Drosophila melanogaster: one gene and its partner. The protein of the gene in region 2 interacts with the protein of the main gene of each other region in a pairwise test. Each region holds a gene or a part of one and is shown on either strand. Other genes may lie near its edges.

The links. Proteins that work in one complex are often made in the same cells at the same time.
Region 1: the proteins of CG15143 (region 2) and CG43330 interact in a two-hybrid assay, tested with the Drosophila melanogaster proteins (one large-scale study listed by BioGRID).

What each region holds. Positions count from the first base shown.
Region 1 is NT_037436.4:22,501,627-22,508,941, forward strand, and holds CG43330 (uncharacterized protein), read right to left. Parts: upstream 2,798-7,315; coding exon 2,285-2,797; 3' UTR 2,243-2,284; downstream 1-2,242. Other genes in the region: CG43312 (uncharacterized protein), read left to right, coding at 1-624; CG43331 (uncharacterized protein), read right to left, coding at 1,368-2,129; CG43329 (uncharacterized protein), read right to left, coding at 2,968-3,552.
Region 2 is NT_033779.5:17,520,392-17,530,996, reverse strand, and holds CG15143 (uncharacterized protein), read left to right. Parts: upstream 1-6,447; 5' UTR 6,448-6,475; coding exon 6,476-6,668; intron 6,669-6,752; coding exon 6,753-6,990; intron 6,991-7,051; coding exon 7,052-10,079; 3' UTR 10,080-10,105; downstream 10,106-10,605. Other genes in the region: CG15145 (uncharacterized protein), read left to right, coding at 1-1,530; CG15144 (uncharacterized protein), read left to right, coding at 2,002-2,278, 2,331-2,438, 2,505-2,739, 2,798-5,294; Dhc36C (dynein heavy chain at 36C), read right to left, coding at 5,543-6,049, 6,115-6,266, 10,383-10,605.

The sequences.
Region 1 (7,315 bases), on a different chromosome or scaffold from region 2:
CAATCTTTAACCGTGGCGGATGGTTCTATGCAACTATACTGCCCCCTGGTTACATACACCCATCTCGAGCTTCTTTGCGACGGAGTCTATAACGCTGACCTATATTTGAAATACAAAGACCGGCTAACTTCCGTAAATGCGCCCTACAAGATCTTCTACTATGACCAGGATGGATATTATTTCTTCCTCGTAAGCTTCAACGACTCTCCAGTGCAAAGTTGTAACGCCACGATCCAGCTGGACGATGAACTCGATTTCTTTTGCGGAGTCAGTAAATCACCTTTAATAGTGTCCGGCACGCAGTTTTTCTGCCACAAGGAACTAATGACCTACGTAGATGACTTGTTATACGAATGCACCAAGCCAATAGCTCTGCGCTTCTTCAATGTTGAGTGGAAGGGAGAGGCTACGATTCATTACGCTGCCAAAACAGAGTCAAAAAGTGGATCTTCTAGGGGAATCCCTGGTTTGGAAATCTGGCTGGCCTGCCTGGTGTGCGTCTTTCTTCAAAGATTGAAACTGCTGTCATCCAATATATTTGAAATTCAAGTGAACTACCAGTTTGCCAGCTTGAAGCAAAATGCGCTTGTGCTCGATGTTCGTGCTGCTCTACATAGTTCGTAAGCTGGAGAATGTCAAGAGCGGATGCAACAATACCGAAGTGCTGGGATTGGAAGGATCCTCAGCTCCATTGACCACGCAATCGTCTGTCTCCCAAGGACGCCAGAATAAGGAGCTGTTTCGCACACTGTTCAAAATTTGTCCCAAGTGAATTTATACCAATAAAATTTAAAAAGAGCTTTGCTCTGCTTGTTTCATTTGCGACACAGAGCCCTTTAAAACTATAAACTTAATGAATGCGCTTAAAGTCCTTTCCCAAACATCTACACGCAAGTGTTGAGCACCACAGACCAATATGGCGGCAGTCCATATAAGCACATAAATTACGCCAACGCCAATGACAATGACGACAATGAAATGTGATGCCCCCCCATCCTCCCATTTCCGACGAATCTCCGGCTGTGTGCGTAAAATGGCAGTTAGCTGAGCCTCTGTATGCGGCTGTCCATGCCTGCATCTGGCTGCCATTGTTGGGATGTCTAAAATTTCATGCCACAACAGCAACTACAGCACTACAGAAACTAAGGCCAACTACAATGGACTCTGCTGAACTGCTAGTCGGCGAGGACCCGCCTATTTTGTTTACCCGAGTAAAATAAGCAGCTTCGAGATAATGCATGCAATCACAGGGCAAACGAGGGGATTGATGTGGACGCGGATTAGGTGGCTGGATAGAAGCGCCGCAGATGAAGGATTGAGGTTGCCCTGCCCGGCATTAAGCGACAATATAACTATTCGGAACCATTTTATTGACATAGTAAAATACCAAAATATCGTGATACGAGAAGGGGAATTATGGGCACAAGAAGGGGGACAGCCGCAGGGCGTTTAACGCGAGGTACAGCCTCACTAGTCCTCCTGATATTGCTCTTCATGTAGGCGATCGCCACTGCGATGGGTGGCGATCCTTCCGAGCACGGCTTCTTGGCACACGCATTGTACAGGTGTAAGGTGTAGTGGAACGGATAGTTAAGGCAGTGCATCTGCTCGACCTCCGTGTTCGGCTCTATGAAGTTGCGCCCGTCGCAGTAAAACTTGCCGTTGTGCATAACCACTGTGTAGCAGGAGAAAAGCGGCGAGTCGTAGAAGGAAATGAGCAGGTAGGACGGGTCGTGGGTGTCGGGACGCTTCCAGATGGCGTACGGGGTCCCGATGGCCGGGATGCGGTCCTTGTGCTGCAGCCGAATCTCCTCTATGTAGCTGCTGTGACACACGTACTGCAGGATGTAGCCCTCGAGGAAGGTGCAGTTCTGGTCCTCGCATGCTGCCGACACTGGTCCGAGGATGAGCAGGAGCAGCAGGAAGGACACTGGCCGGAACAGCGGGCACGGCGGATGTGGTTTGAGCTTGGGCGGCGGTAAAGTCGTAGTCGAAGGCGGTGGGTTGCAGACCGGGCGCAGGGCGTGCCGAGGATGCTTGGGTTGCTTTGTATGCTGAGGAGGACGGAGCGACGAACGGTCGATCCACTTGTTATTCAGGCTTCGTGCGCTTGAGAGGCGCACTGGCATTGCTTATAGGCAAATGATTCTTTGATCATTTTCGAAAAATTTGATGGGAATTTCCAGGAGAATAAAAACGGTTCCGATCACTTCTCCCCCGCTTGACAGAAGATTCTCTAGTTGCCCCCGGCCCTGCGTTTAGCATCCGCTTAGCATCGACTTTCTTAGAGAAGCCTGAGTCCCAGGGTCCAAGGCCGAGTCCTGGCGGCCCCAGACGGAATATCACGATTGGGAACCCGCCGCGCATACAAAATGGCGACGCGATCGAACTTCGTGGCCGGCGACAGTCCACAGTGCTTCATCAGGTCCCGCACGTAGGAGAAGGAGAAGTCAAAACAGTGGATGCTCTCCGGTCGAATGTGTATGCCTAGCTCATCGGAGTCAGCACAATGAAGGCAGTTGAGGCTCAGGCTAACGTTCTCACACGGCGATATGGGCGACTCATAAAAGGAGATCAGCAGCTCCACACTGGGCAGTCGTCTCCACCAAAGCCAGTAGGGTACGTCGGCACTGAGCCAAATGTCTCGGTAGCTCAGCTTCAGGTCGGTGCTGTATTCGGCCTTACAAACCAGCGTAAATGGAATTTCGTTTTCTAGCATGAAGTAGCAGGAGTCGAAGGAGGCCTCGGAAGAGGACAGAAGAAATGCGATCGGGAGCAGCCACAGTTTCCATGTCATGGCTTTGTAGGTTGATGTCCATAGGGTATGGCATGTAGAAATGTAGACTAATAAATCATGGCTGACATTTGGAAAGCGACGCTTCTTCTAGCGCAACAATTTATTCATTCAATTTTGAACAATATCATTTTTACATTAAATTTAGATTTTTCGGGTACAAAACTTTCATTTTAGTAAGTGATCACCGCACACACGACAAGAAGCAGGTTTCTTTTCACACTTGTCGAAGTTGCATCACTCTTCGGCAAGTCGGGGGTTTTTATGCTAAGCGAGCCGTAGTGAATAATGGGCTTCTTGGTAAGGACACCTCCCTCACTTATGTCTTGGCCCAGACAGTGCCTTTTTAGCTCATTCGTATAGCGCAGACCGAAGGGGAAGCAGTGGAGGGTAGACGGTGTCACAAACAAAAGATCGTTGGTATTTCTTCCCTTGGTGGCTAGAAAGAATTGGCCAAGATCCATCTCGCCTTCCTGCAGATTGATGGTATCATAGTTTGGAAACATCGTGGTGTAAAACGATACCAGAAGAGCAGAGTCGTCCTCTTCGGTCTGCCAAACACTGTAGGGAGTGTCGGGAGGAGCTCGGTTGTCCCGAAACATTGTATACATATCCTTGGGGACATTTCCCTTGCACACGAACTTTAGAGTGACATTCTTTGCGAAGGTGCAATTCCCAGTGCTGTGTATGGCAAGAATTTGAAGCAAGGTCGCCAAAAAAACTATTGATATTCCAAAAAAGGTCAAGTATAAGCGCATTACAATAAATTTAAGGATGACTCATTACGGGTTTCCAAATTTCAACTCAACTGACAACAGGCTCACAGTTTTAAGGACCCAGATTGATTTTTTCTAAGCCATTTTAAGATTTCCCTTTGAATTATAATATTTATTTTTTATGTTAAGTTTTACTAAATGTTTAGTATTCAGGATTTAATTTACATAATACATTAATAAATCTTTTAAATTATTTTATAGTTACTAAAAACTATTTGTTCTCATAAAAACACATACGACTGGGTAAATATAACCTAGTAAAGAACAAGTTTTTACATCCGGTCACTTTTATTTCGATTTTTACGCGGTAGTCAGGCCAAGGAACTTGTGCACTACACATACCACTTTTACAAAAAGTTTCAACTAACTTTTGCAGCCAAAGATAAAAAGTTTTTTGAATTCAATCAAATTAATTAAACAATATCTTTGGTGATCCAGTCTATTTATGCACTATTCGATTCCAAGCAAAGGCTATGCTATTGGTACTCTTTTCAAATTTCATTAAATGCATTATTTTAAAAAACAAAACAACCAATATATGAAACATTCGGAATTTGTGCATTACATTAATGGGTTGAATCAGTTTTCCCTAACGAATACTGGATTTTAAAACCATTTGTGGATTGTGAATGCCAAGCCCAGAAATCTTCTCTATTTATAGAACTCATTGTTTTGATCCGGTCATTCCATCTCTTCCTCGATCTCAGTGCAGCTACTAGGTTTCAGACAAGTCGGAGGAGAAAAAATGCGTCAAATTGATTTACACGCAAGCTAAAGTTCGTTGAAAGGGCGGGCTGCAGCAATGTGAAGGAACAGAGTTGAAGAGACTGGAACGAATTTACTAGACAATTTCTGGGCTTTAACTACGTTTCCTGGGAGTTCTCGGCCCGGAACTGGACTTCCCTGCATTTCCTTCCTTTGCCTGCCTTTATTGAATTACATAGATATTACACAATGGGGGTGTGTATTTGGTCTGCCTGAGAATCTGAGCGACAGCTCAGGGTGTAGCGCAGGTGTATTGTGTGGCTGATATAAAGGGCAAAGAAAAGCATTGAATGAAGTCGGGAAAATGCCAAAACTGCCAGTGAATGACAATCTTAAGGCGAACCCTTCTGGCACACATATCCAACGTTGAAATTACAATTCCTTCCTTCCATCGCGCACAGATGTCCTTGCAAGGCCCAAAACCTTTGCATTATCCATTCTTCATTGTAATATTAATACATATCATATGATTCACAGCTGACGATGCCTTCGGCACTTCGTTCGTGGTGACATCTGTGGCTTTCCTTATTCAGTTGTGCTGTCGCTGACACATTGTCAATGCAAAAAAGATTCAAAAATGATGCCCGGAACTGTTTTGTGCTAATGGGACAATCAGCAGTTGCGGATTTCTCGGTCAAATTTATCGGTAGATAACCAAGAGAATTAGTAATGAATCGAAATACGGAAATATGACGACCTGCAGTAGAAACCCTGAAGTTGACGAGGATAAGTGGAGCGGGAAACAATTCCATTAGTGAAATAAATAAACTAAGCCCAACTAAATGATTGAGCAGGTACAGTCGCAATCTTCCGTCCTGTCATGCCCAGAATCAAACGGTGAGTCCAAAAACAACGTTCGTCGCGTGCATTATTCGAGTGCAAACATCCCAAAATACGGACAAAGACCTCTCCTTCACTCATTTCGGTAAAATCTCTAAGGATGTCACTCGACTGCGGCCGCCAGAATACATATTACATGAGTCGCCCAAGTGGAGCGCACACATATTGACCCATTTCGATGCTGCCAGGTCAGACAGGCCCCCACACCCAAACACACCCAGCCACCTAGGCCAAGGAGCCGCCGAGTAGTTTTGGTTAATAAAGTCAAATGCCACCAAAATCAAACGGAAAGCGCCACTTACGACTAATGGCATCACGGCATCGGTGGCAAGATGCCACATCCTGACACAGCTGCCTACCACCAGCAAACACACCAGCAACAACAGAAACAAAGGCCCTTGGATATCCGTCAGTAACGTTGGGGACCTGACGAGCTGAGGCGAAATTGGGTATTTTTAATTGTATTAACATCGCCTAGAAGTACAGTGGGCCAAATTGTAGGTCAGACTACGTATAATCTGGTTTTCTAATAAGAAATTTTGTATGTGCCTCTTAAACAAGTTTATATGTCTTATACCCGTTACTCGTTGAGAATCGTTACTAGAATCGTTAAAAACTATGCAACCGGCAGAGGTAAGCGTTTTCGGCCATTAACCGAGTCGATTTGGCCCAGCCCAAATTTTTGAAAATGTTTTGGTATTATTTTTCAACTCCCACTTAAATGCCCACAAACCACTTAAGCGTGTCACGCCCACACTTTGAAAAAATGTTTTTATATTTTTGTCCATTTATTCCCCAATATTGAAATATCCCTGTGCAGTGTAGCCCACTGTTAGTCATTTTAGGCCTACTCCCTGGACATCGCGATTGGCTCCGCTTTGTGTAGCACTTAAGTGCTTACCGAGGCCTCCAGATAGTATACATTAGGTTATTTGATTTGGCTCCCAGCCTGATTGTGGCTTTTAGTTTGATATGGCGAGAGGTAAGAGATATTCAAATAGTATGAGCAATGCGGGTCCAGATGCATTAGTAATTACAATATCAAAACGAGTTTCCATTAACTATTATAAATGTTACACGTACATTCAAGGGTATAGTGCCTTCCATGAAACATGTGTAAAAGTTTTTACCATTTTTCTGCCTAAAACCGCAGAATTTGGAAAAATTGGGAGTAAATGGTGTAAAATGGTATACTAGATTTGATGAAAAGTATGTAATAGGTAGAAGGAAGCGTTTCTTACCCTATAATGTATATATAAATATTATTAATAAGGATAGATAGCGGAGGCGATCTGTCAGTCTGTCCGAACGACGAGATCTCGAAAACTATAAATGCTTGAAAGTTGAGACATGCAGACTTTGCGATGCCAACGCTGTGTGTGAGTTATAGCTATTGTTTTAATTTCTATTGATATTGATTAAAAAGTCATGCATTTTCTTGTTCCCTATAAGTACCGAGTATCGATACCCGAATATAGCGATCTCTCTTGTTTTAAATTTTTGTATGAAAAAATTTTGGATGTAACGAGTGCTTGCTAAACAATGTAAGCATACTTCACCGTTCGATAAGTCTACTAGAAATGATGCTGCTCCCACTGCGGACTGCCAAGCAGGACCTTGAAAAGGTGTAAAAGGAGCGCAAGCGACCTCACGTGCTGCCAAAACGATGGAGTCAACAAAAGTCAGCTGAGGAAGTGGGGACCAGCACAAACGACAACGAATTACTCGCTGTCAGAACAGGACAACGGAGCAGCAGTCGCAGGACTCGTCTGTGCGTGTGGGAGAATCCGCAGGACAGTGCAGGGGATCGCGTGTCTGGCAAGTCGGCGACCGAAAATCAAAAGAAAATTGATATTAAGAAATTGCACGAAATGAGTAAATGAAGCGTGGACGCCTAATGGACTGGCGTCTGAGCTGAGGCGGGCCAAGAAGGGCGACTGATTGCCACCTTGGAGAAATATGTATTAAAAATTCCACGAAAACTAATCAATGTCAAATGTCCGTCGATTGTTCCTCACCGACGTCCCAGATAGATAAGTTCAGGGTCCTAGGCGATTCCACGCGTGGTTAGCTGAAATTAGAAAATAATTTGCTTTTGTCCTGAGTAATTTATTGGCTGCCATAAATTTGACGGGGCGTG
Region 2 (10,605 bases):
GAGCTTGAAAAGCAAATTAATATGCAAATAATTGAGTGTCCATTCGCCAAATTGAAGCAATGGTCGCAGCCCAAGCAACGGATCGCTGAAATAGAGAATCGTTTCTGCAATGAGGAGCATCTGGATGAGCTCTACCATTTGCTGAGGACACTAAGAGTCACCGATGGAGGGCAGCAGCCCAAGCCCGATTGTCTTAAATTACTATTTAAACATACACCAAACCTACGGTCCAGGATGTCACTGGTACAACCTAAAAGCTATACCAATCTCTATGAGAGAAATGCGTACACCGCACGATCAACGTCAAGACCCACACAACAGAAAGCTGTTCAAGAACAGAAAAATCAGCTAAGTTCCGAGTACGCCCAAAAACTTGCCAGGGATGTGCAGAAAAACGACCTGAAAAGCATGATTTTGGCCTACGAAGGCAGTATGATTGGTTACATGATGCAGTTCCTCACCGACGAAATGAATCGCCTGAAGGAGCAACGCCGTCTGCACTTCTTCTCCCTATTGGCGAGTAAAAAACGCTGGCAACTTGAAGCAGCCGAGGCGGGCCTGAGGCAGAAGGAGAACAGCATTAGGCTGCTCTACGAGGAGATGTTCCAGTATACAAATGCGGTTAGCACCGATGTCAGTGATCAGTATGTGCACAGCATTCTGACCGACGATCTGGGTTATATGGCTGCCAACGAGGCGGCGGAAGCGGTCACGGAAATGGCCAAGCAAATTGATATGGACATCGAACGATGGCTCGAGAGTTTCAAGCTGATACAAAATCCCCTCAACTATATTCCACTTCGATTGATGCTGCACGACATGGTCTGTCCGGATCTGAATGCTGCTCTGCAGCGTTATGAGGCTACCATGATTGTGCAGTACATAGTGGAAGATGTGGTCTTTGATGGAATTTGGAAGGCACTCGAACCCTTTGATATATCCAGCACACTGACTAGCGATCTTATCGATCGACTCATCGACAACGATCTGTATTTGTTCTCATCGGATAGTGAAAGCGAAACGCCACAGAAAACTGGCTGGTACGAAGCTCATGCCATAATTCGAAAACTTATTCGACAATCGGTGCCTGGCAGACGTTGGAAGGAAGAAGCCGAACGAATAGTTTATGAAAACTATATTGATCTGCTGGACAGTGTATTTGATGAAATTTTGCAAAAATTTGAAGCGCCATCAAGAATTGAGCCAGTTGTGGTGCATCGAGCATATTCGCATGAAAACCTTACCAGCAGCGCCAATTTTCGATTGGAAAAAGGTGTTTGGCAACAACTACCACAAACTGAATCTGATTTCAGTTACGATCCCAGTACGAAGATAATTAAAAGACAATTGTTAAGCCTTGAAAGAAAAAATAGTAGTAGCACAGTTAAGGGTTTCTTCTCAGATGAAATCTACAAAGGAAGTCCACAAAATTCTTTGGCATCGAAGTTTATTGGAACAGATTCCGACGCCGAAGACGATCCTTGGCCATGGTTACCAGATTGTAAGAGTCAAAGTTCATCCCAGGAATAACTAATGGATATCATGAAAATATTCAGAATTTTACAGAAGAAAAACAAAGGAAAATAAGGAACTTTAGCTTATAATAAGATAGGCTCATATTTTTTTGTAATTTGTCTTACAACCATCTACGTTATGTATATTTTTAATAAATATCGGGCCATATGTACATCTTATAGATTGCGATTTGATTTGATTTCCGATTTTACAACTAGTTCTTATGAGCCGCCTATCGATTGGCCAACAAACAAAGTGGCTCCCTAGCAGCAAATTGGTTGCCTGGCGAATAATATTTGCTCCAGATTGACCGACTTACCGACAATCCAATAGGGCTCGGGCATAAGGACAAGCTGGTTAGTTTAACATAGTAAGCTACTTATATAACTAAAAAACTAAGCACTCTTCTAACAAAAACCCTAGGCACACAAAAAAAAAAATACAAAAAGATATTAAAGAGATATTCAAACACAACATAAGGTAAAAATGCCCTCGGCAAAGGAAAAACGATTGCGCAGGGAAAGAATACTACAGTTCATACGCGAAAATAGGGAGCTCATGCCCATTAGTTCGACGACAGTACTAAAGCCACCTACGGTTAAAAAAGAGGACACTTTAAAGCAAAAAAAACGTGTCACATTTACCCATGGCAAACAGAGGAGTATTGGGGAGTCGACCAGAAACAAGGATAACGAGCAGAATATTGGTCAGGGCCTAACGTCCTGTTTGATCACCAGGTCCTCGGATACCCGATTAGCCAGCGGTGGGTACACCCGGATATAAAGTGGTCGTTTATTAGACATCCGTTTTTCCAGGAGCCAACAACCCAACAGAGATTACGGCGGAAAAACTCCATCGAACCGACAGCAAAAGCCATTTGAAGACGTCATGCACAAAATGCCAAGACTCTCGATTATCGGCTGGTGGGTTTATCCTGAATAAGATTGCCTTTTTTTTAGTAAAAACGATTATATTTAAAAAATGTCCAGGTACAAATAATCCAGCGGCGCGAGATGTTGGCAAATTACCACGAACCGACAGCGAGTGCAAGTTCAACGAGCCCGGAATCTTTTTTCTGCAGAAACCCCATTCGGATTTTACCACTCAGGAAGTCAAGCTGAACGCAAAGCCTATAAGAAAGGAGTTGAAGAACAAGTGCGACTTCTTTCCGAAATATGTGGACAATCGACCATTCAAGGATGAGGCGACACAAACCCTCTATAGGTAGCACAAAGAAAGGAAAGATCACTGAACCCATATAATATCAACTTGTCGTATTTAGGGAATCTTCTGCGCAGACTTTGGCCTTTTTACCTGAAATACTGAACAAGGACAAGTCGGAAACTTTTGAGCTTTATACACTGGCCAAATTGCTGCCAGGCGACAAGCCACCGGGATTGCATGAGGTGGAGTTTTTGGAGCGGGCCCGTCGACGATGGAAATTCAGTAAGGCACTGAAGGATAACTTTAAACGACTTCTTTGTGAGGCGAGGGAAGTGTCTATCAAAACGCAGTACAAGGAGATTCTGGAAGCCTTCGAATGGGAGCAGTGGATACAGCGCGAGGAGGACATACAGCAGTGCCAGATGATGCGCCTGGAAATCGTGATCAAGATGTTTGACAAAAGAGAGAAGGAAATGCACAACGCCTCCAAGGCTCGAATTGAAAAGTCCGTACAGCAAATAGAAAAGCGTCGGCAGGATGGTCTGCGCAAGAACGAAATTGAATACCAGCGGGGAATGCGACGCAACAACATTCAGTTGGCTAAAACCGCTCGAAAGTGGGAGAAACAGAGCCCCATGCAGGCACTTGGATCACCGTGCTCCGAGTTCTACGGCCCACTGATAAGGTATGGTGTTGATCCAGCCCGAAGATGCTTTGAATCCAACACTGGACGCAAAGCATTCGACATGAGGATCGATGAACTGGAAAAGCGGGTGAACATGCGCAATGTGCAGTGCCCCTTCAGCAAGCTGAAGGAGTGGTCCAAGCCCAAGGAGTACGATAGAGAGTATGAACGCAACTTCTGCAATGATGGCAATCTCCAAAGGCTGTACGAGTCCTTGAAGACATTGAGAACGCAGGCCGACATGGCAAAGGAGCCACCGCAGTGCCTGAAGACACGATTGCGAATTGAGCATCGCACATCTAGTTCCAGTTCCACCGATTCATATCGCAACTACAATTGGCAAGCTCGCAAATCACGCTTTGTGGAACTTTCCGAGGGATTACGTAGCACCAAGACAACAATCAAAAAAATGGCCCCACAAAGAGCTGAGAAGTTAGTTAGGGGCTCTGTCATTAGGCGCGAATATTTGGAGACACTGATATGCTCATACGAAGGCAGTTATGTTGGCACAATGATGCAGTTCCTGGCAGATGAAATGCAACGATTGAAGGAGCAGCGCAAGCTGCACTTCTTTTGCATCCTGGCACAAAAGGAGCGCTGGCGCCGTGAAGCAGCGGAAGCGGGATTGAGGCAGAAGGAGAACTGCATGAGAATGCTCTACGAGGAGATGTTTCAGTTTACAAATTCAGTGCACAGTGAGATTGCTGAGAAATATGCCGACACCATATTGACCACCGATGTGGGCAACATGGTGGAGGAGGAGACAGCCGAAACTATTACCGAGCTGGCTAAGCAAATCGATGCGGACATAGAGAGGTGGCTGGAGTCCTTCAAACTGATCCAGAATCCACTCAATTTCACCCCACTTCGTCTCATGCTGCAGGACATGGTCTCACCGGATATGGGCGCTACGCTACGGCGCTACGAGACATCCCTGATTGTCCAGTACATTGTAGAGGACGTGATCTTCTACAATTTGTGGCAGGAACTCGAGCCATTCGATATTGCCAGCACTTTGACCAGTGATCTGATCGATCGCCTTATTGACAACGATCTGTTTTTGTTCTCATCGGACAGCGAAAGCGATTCTGGACATGGAGCCTCCTGGACAGAGTCCCATGCCATCATACGAAAGCTCATTCGCCAAGCTGTTCCGGGTAGACGCTGGAAGGAGGAAAACGAGAGGATTGTCACCGAAACCTTTAGCAGCCTGTTTGACGATGTGTTTGCCCAGATCCTATTTGGCATCGAAAATCCGGAACCAGTTCGGGGCACCGAACTTTTGCACCTTTGTGCAAGTAAATCGTATGCCTTCCTCCCTCACGAGATTCCAAGTAGAGTTCCTTTGGAAAAGTTGGAGTCGTCCCAATCGGAGTCATTGGAGAATGCTAATATTCTACGAATGCAATTCCTATCGCTCATTAAAAAAATTAAAGAAGATAAGATAACCAAAAAGTTGGAGAGAACTGGGGAGAAAGTGAAGATGTCTGCAAATGAATACGAATTATTTGACGACTATATCAAAAACGAAGTGCTCCAAAATGCGGAACTCCTTAACAGTGTGTCTCCGGTGCCAGAGCCTGAATTATGTTCCATCATAAGTACTGTTGATATTACCGAGTACGACAATAATCTAAAAGATCTGCGAGGTTCCTCGATTATTCAGCGTTCGCCTTCAGCCGAAGAGGAGGCCTTTGAAAGTAAAGACGAAGAAGTTAGATCGGACAATTTCAATGAATTCATCAACGTAGACCAGGAAAAAGTTGAAGATGCAGAACCAGAACAAGAGAATGTATCTGAAAATTCGGGAAGGGAATCTGACGACTTAGAATCCATAATTGGCGAAGAATTTGAGGAAGAGCATACCGATATGGCCGAAGAGGTCGTGGTTTACTCCACCAAAGAATCGCAGGTCTTTAAATTCAGATAAATTTTCAAATTCCATCTTTCAATTTCCTGGGCAACGGAGCTTTTCGTTACTTTCATACGCATACATAAAAAAAAATTATTATTGAAAATAATACCAAATAATAATAGTGGTAAAATATATTTATTTAGCTCGCATGTTTTTGGGGAAGTGATTTTCAAGTGACACCTCTTCAAAATATTTCTTACTTAATGAGCCTCAAGCAGACCTTAAAAAATATATTTAGTTCAATCGAAAGTAATGTACAATCCCTAGAAACTCAGCTGGCACAACAAAGCCGTGCCGCGAATAATCCAATGTGAGACTGGAGTATTCGGATTGCAGAGTAGCAACATGGCCACCACAAAGTTGGTACTATGACCAGTGGTGGACAATACTCCTCGACGTTCGGCAGTCTTGTACATGGGACACAGATAGTTATGACGCTCCGGCAGATCGACGCGCTTGAGCGGTTTTAGCCAAATCAATGGCATCGTATCAAACAGTTCCCTTGGCCGGGACTCGGCTAGATACTTTCCAGTGCGATCCCATCGTGCACCCTCTAGGAAAATGCCATACACAAAGACGCCATCCTCGGGTCCCGATAATCCCTGCCTTTGCGGCTCTTCCACCGTGAGAACTTCGTAATCGAAGGCCAGAAGATCTATGGATATGACATACTTTCGCGCATAGTTCTGCTGGGCACCGGTTAAAAAGGCCTGAGTGAAAAAAAATCCAGATAGCCAAAAGGTGGAAGGAGCTCCATGATCAAACCAGTGCTACAATAAAAGTTAAAAACATGTTTTTTTATTTTGTATTGCTGCGTACTTTCCATATCACTTACCTGCAAAAACTCAAGGCGGCGCAAAAAATCGGTCACATAACTGCCCAATGGCTTTAGACTTGGGTACGATTTTCCAGCCCACATTGCAGGTATTTTGGCTATTAGGACGGACTTGTAAACGGCCTCAACAGCAGGAGACATTACAACCAAACCTGTTGGTGAAAAGTTAATTTTTTAATAATACACAAGTATTTAATAAACAATCATACTAATACTTAATATGAATAAGTTAACTTAGTAGCCCACTGAAATTAGAATTCAAAATTAATTAAATATGAAACCCATTTGCTGACACAATACTCATCAAAACCCACATAAAAACTACACTTATACAAAATATAAAAATATAAAAAAAAACACAATGTCCAAACACAATACACGACTCGATAGGCATGTTAAGTTTAGGATTCTTCAGGAGGACAGGTTACAATCACCGAGACAAAAAGAGGATAATATCAAACGGAAAAAGAGCACTTCCAAATCTGAAAATCTTACTGAACGTGGCCTATCATCTTGTCTGATCAACAGCTCGGTAGATCTGCGGATCACAGGAGGTATTTAATGTTAAGAAATTGAAATTGGATTGAAAAGGTATAACACAAGTATTACTTTCAATAATTTGATGATCCTTTTTCTAGGTGAGAATGACCCAGCACAGCGCAATGTTGGAAAATTGCCTCGCACCGACAGCGAGTGTCAGTTCAAAGCTCCGGGATACCGATTTCTTACCGAACAAGATACTACAGTGAACACCCATGAGGTCAAGATGAGCCCCAGGGTAGTGACGAAAAAGGATTTAAGGCACAAATGTGATTTCTTTGCTAAGAACAAGGACGCACGACCGTTTAAGAATAAGATCACGCAGACGCTTTACAGGTAAACTCCAAGTGAACTAAATACTAATTTATAATTTAATATAACTATACGTATTTGTTAGAGAATCCTCTGCGCAGACAATGGCTTATTTGCCGGAGATTTTTGAAGCAAACAGCGTTGAAACCTTGGAACTGTTTTCCCTGCCATCTATATTCCCAGTAGCAAATCGACCGGGACTCCATGAAGTTGAGATTCTGGAACGCGCCAGGAAACGATGGGCCTTTAGTGATGCCCTAAAGATTCACTTCAAAAACCTACTTCAAGACGCCAGGAAAGTGGCGATAAAAACAGAGCTCAAGGAGATTTTGGAGGCCATTGAATGGGAGCAGTGGATACAGCGTGAGGAGGACATTCAAGAGTGCCAGATGATGCGTCTCCAGATCGTGATTAAAATGTTTGATAAGCGGGAGAAGGAGATGCACACCGCTTCAAAGACTCGAATCGAAACAGCCTGCGAGCGAATCGAGAAGCGACGTCAGGCGGGTTTGCGAAAAAACGAGATCGAGTTCCAACGGGGAATGCGCCGAATGGAGTTCCAACTTACGAAGAATCCGCGAAGGTGGGAGAAGCAAAGTCCCATGTACGCGTTGGGATCACCCAGCTCGGAGTTCTACGCTCCGCTTTTAAGATACGGCGTGGATCCGGCGCGTCGCAACTTTGTGTCCAAAACAGCACAAAAAGCCTTCGATATGAGAATCGATGACTTAGAGAAGCGAATCAACAATACCGACTTCAAATGTCCGTTTAGAAAGCTTAAGGATTGGTCCAAGCCCAAAAAGTATGACAAGGAATATGAGCGGAACTTCTGCAAGGAAGACAATCTACAAAAGCTCTTCGAATCTCTGAAAGGCCTAAGAACACAGGCCAATGCGGAGAGAGAAGAACCAAAATGTCTAGTACGGCGAAGAAAACCCGAATTGGGTAGAGCGGCATCCCAAATAACCCTGGCCTATCTAACTGACTTGTACGAAAGGAGCGATTCTGATGAGGAATATCGTAAATCGCGAGCTTACGGATCCTTTTCACCACACGCAAAGCCGGGGACGAACAAAGTCTCAGAGACCACACTATCGCATTTGAAGAACGACAGGAAGCGCGAAGAAATGGAGCACATGTTGAACATTTATGAGGGCACCTACGTGGGTTGGGTGATGCAGTTCCTCTCGGAGGAGATGACCCGACTTTCGGAGCTGCGAAGGCTTCACTTCTTCTCGATTATGGCCCAAAAGGAACGCTGGAGACGCGAGGCCGCCGAAGCCGGTCTGCGACAGAAGGAGAACGAATTGAGATTGTTGTACGAGGAGCTTTTCCAACATTGCAATGTGGTCAACAATGAGATCTCCAATAAGTATTTTGCCAACATTCTGAGCTCTGATATGTACGGCATGGCCGATGGCCTTGCTGGCGAGACAGTGAGTGAATTGGCCAAAAAGATCGATGCGGATATATTGCGATGGCTAGAGAGCTTTAAGTTGATCCAAAACCCCCTTACCTATGTGCCACTACGAATAATGTTGAATGACATGATTTCACCGAATATGAACAATATTCTGCAGCGCTACGAGAATTCCCTGATCGCCCAGTACGTATTGGAGGATGTGATTTTCCCAAAGGTGTGGAATGAACTAGATCCGTTTGATATAGGATGTACTTTAACGAGTGATCTCATAGATCGCCTAATCGACAACGATTTGTATCTGATGTCCACTGACAGCGAAAGTGAAACCCCACAAAAAACTTCCTGGCGCGAAGCTCATGCCATCATAAGAAAGATCATACGACAGGCAGTTCCTGGCGATCGTTGGCTTCAAGAAAATGAGCGTATTGTTAACGAAAACTATAATGATCTATTTGACGACGTGTTCGCAGGCATATTTGACAAGTCTGAAAATCCTCCAGCCGTGAGGCCATCACAACTAATCGAGCTCTGCCCTACTGTCTCTCATAATTACATTCATCACATGGACAATATACGCGAGATGGAAAACTTTCATACCGAAAATGCTACCTCACAGCCAGGATCAGAATTTGAAAAAAAACAGTTGTTAAACATATTAAGAAAACGCAAAGAAGACAATATTACAAGAAATTTACAAAACTTTGATAATCCCCTGGCGGGTGAAATACCATCTGACAGCGACATATTTCTAAGATCTCAAATATTCAATCCAATGCCACTTCCAACGACGACACCAAGTGATTTGTTCAGTCTTAGAAGCACTCTCGATGTTTCGCATGCCTCAAAATTGGGATCATTTGTCGGCAGGGGCTATAGAGTAATGCTTCCCAGTGAGGAAGAAAAAAATTCTAACGTTGATGTATCAAAACTTCCGATAGATAATGACGAGGAAGAAAAATTTGAATTGCCAGCTTCAGAGTTTTCTGAAATTACAGGGACTGATATAGACTCGCCGAAGGTATCATTTCATAAAATTCTGTCGACAATGGAATTGAGGACGAGGATTTCATCAGCATCTGAATCGCACGATAAGCAACCAGAAGAAGAGAATTTAAAACCACTGGATTCATCTCCATTAAAATTAGAAAGCTTAACCACCCCATCTCCTGGTGAAGCGAAAACTAGAGACTCCCCTTCAGTTGAATTAAAGCCGGTTACTGAATTAGTTTCTGAGAATGTAATACCCACCACTTCCTTGGGTACTAGTAGTATAATAACCAACGATACAAACACAACAACAAACGATTTAGACCAAGAAAAGGAAACGTCTAGGGAAATGCGCTCGGTAGTCGAGTTCAATCTTGAGCCTCTAAACAGACCGGAAGCCGAACTCGGACTGGATGCCGAACTCGGACCGGATCTCGAAGACGAACCGGGATCCGAACTTTTGCTCTGGCCAGAACGGGAGTCCTTTATCCCACCCGTACGTTCGTCGGGGGTCAGAAATTCAACAGTCGAACCGATTAAATCTGAGAAAGGATCGCATTCTTCTAAAAGGCCTAGAAATAAATCCATAACCGATCAATATGAAGTTGAGGAAAGATATATTGGCTCCGTGAGCAAGAACCATATCCAAATTAAGGACAAAACCGCTGAGAACATAGATAATATTGTACCAGAATCTGAATAAAAACTAAAAATGTGTGCTGAAAAGAGAATCTTAGAAGTGAACAATCTGTCATAAACAAATTGCCAAAATAAATGTATATTTTGATTTATTTCGGTGTAATTGTATAATGATTTATCTGAAATGTATTAGTAGGAACGATAGGGGTACTTTATAAAGTTTTGATGAAAATAAAAACAAAAAGTAGTCGAGTTCTTCGACTATCAGATACCCATTATATAGCTAGTTGAAATTTTTGTTTGGCATATCGATAGAAAAATCATTACGATATCTGCAAGGGTATCATAAATAAAATGGCTTACTCACCCTTGATTCCCTTTCGCAGCGTGATAAGGCTAGTTCGGATCGTGTTCAGCAGGACATTAAAGCGCACCATCTCCTGAACGAGCACCGTGTTCATGCTTTGGTGGTAGAGAGTGGGATACTTTAGCAGGGCCGCATCGCGGTCGAATAGCTTTGGCAACTTGTCCAGAATATCGGTTGCCACATTTGTGACAACCTCTTCGGGAGTTAGTGCCTTGGAACCACC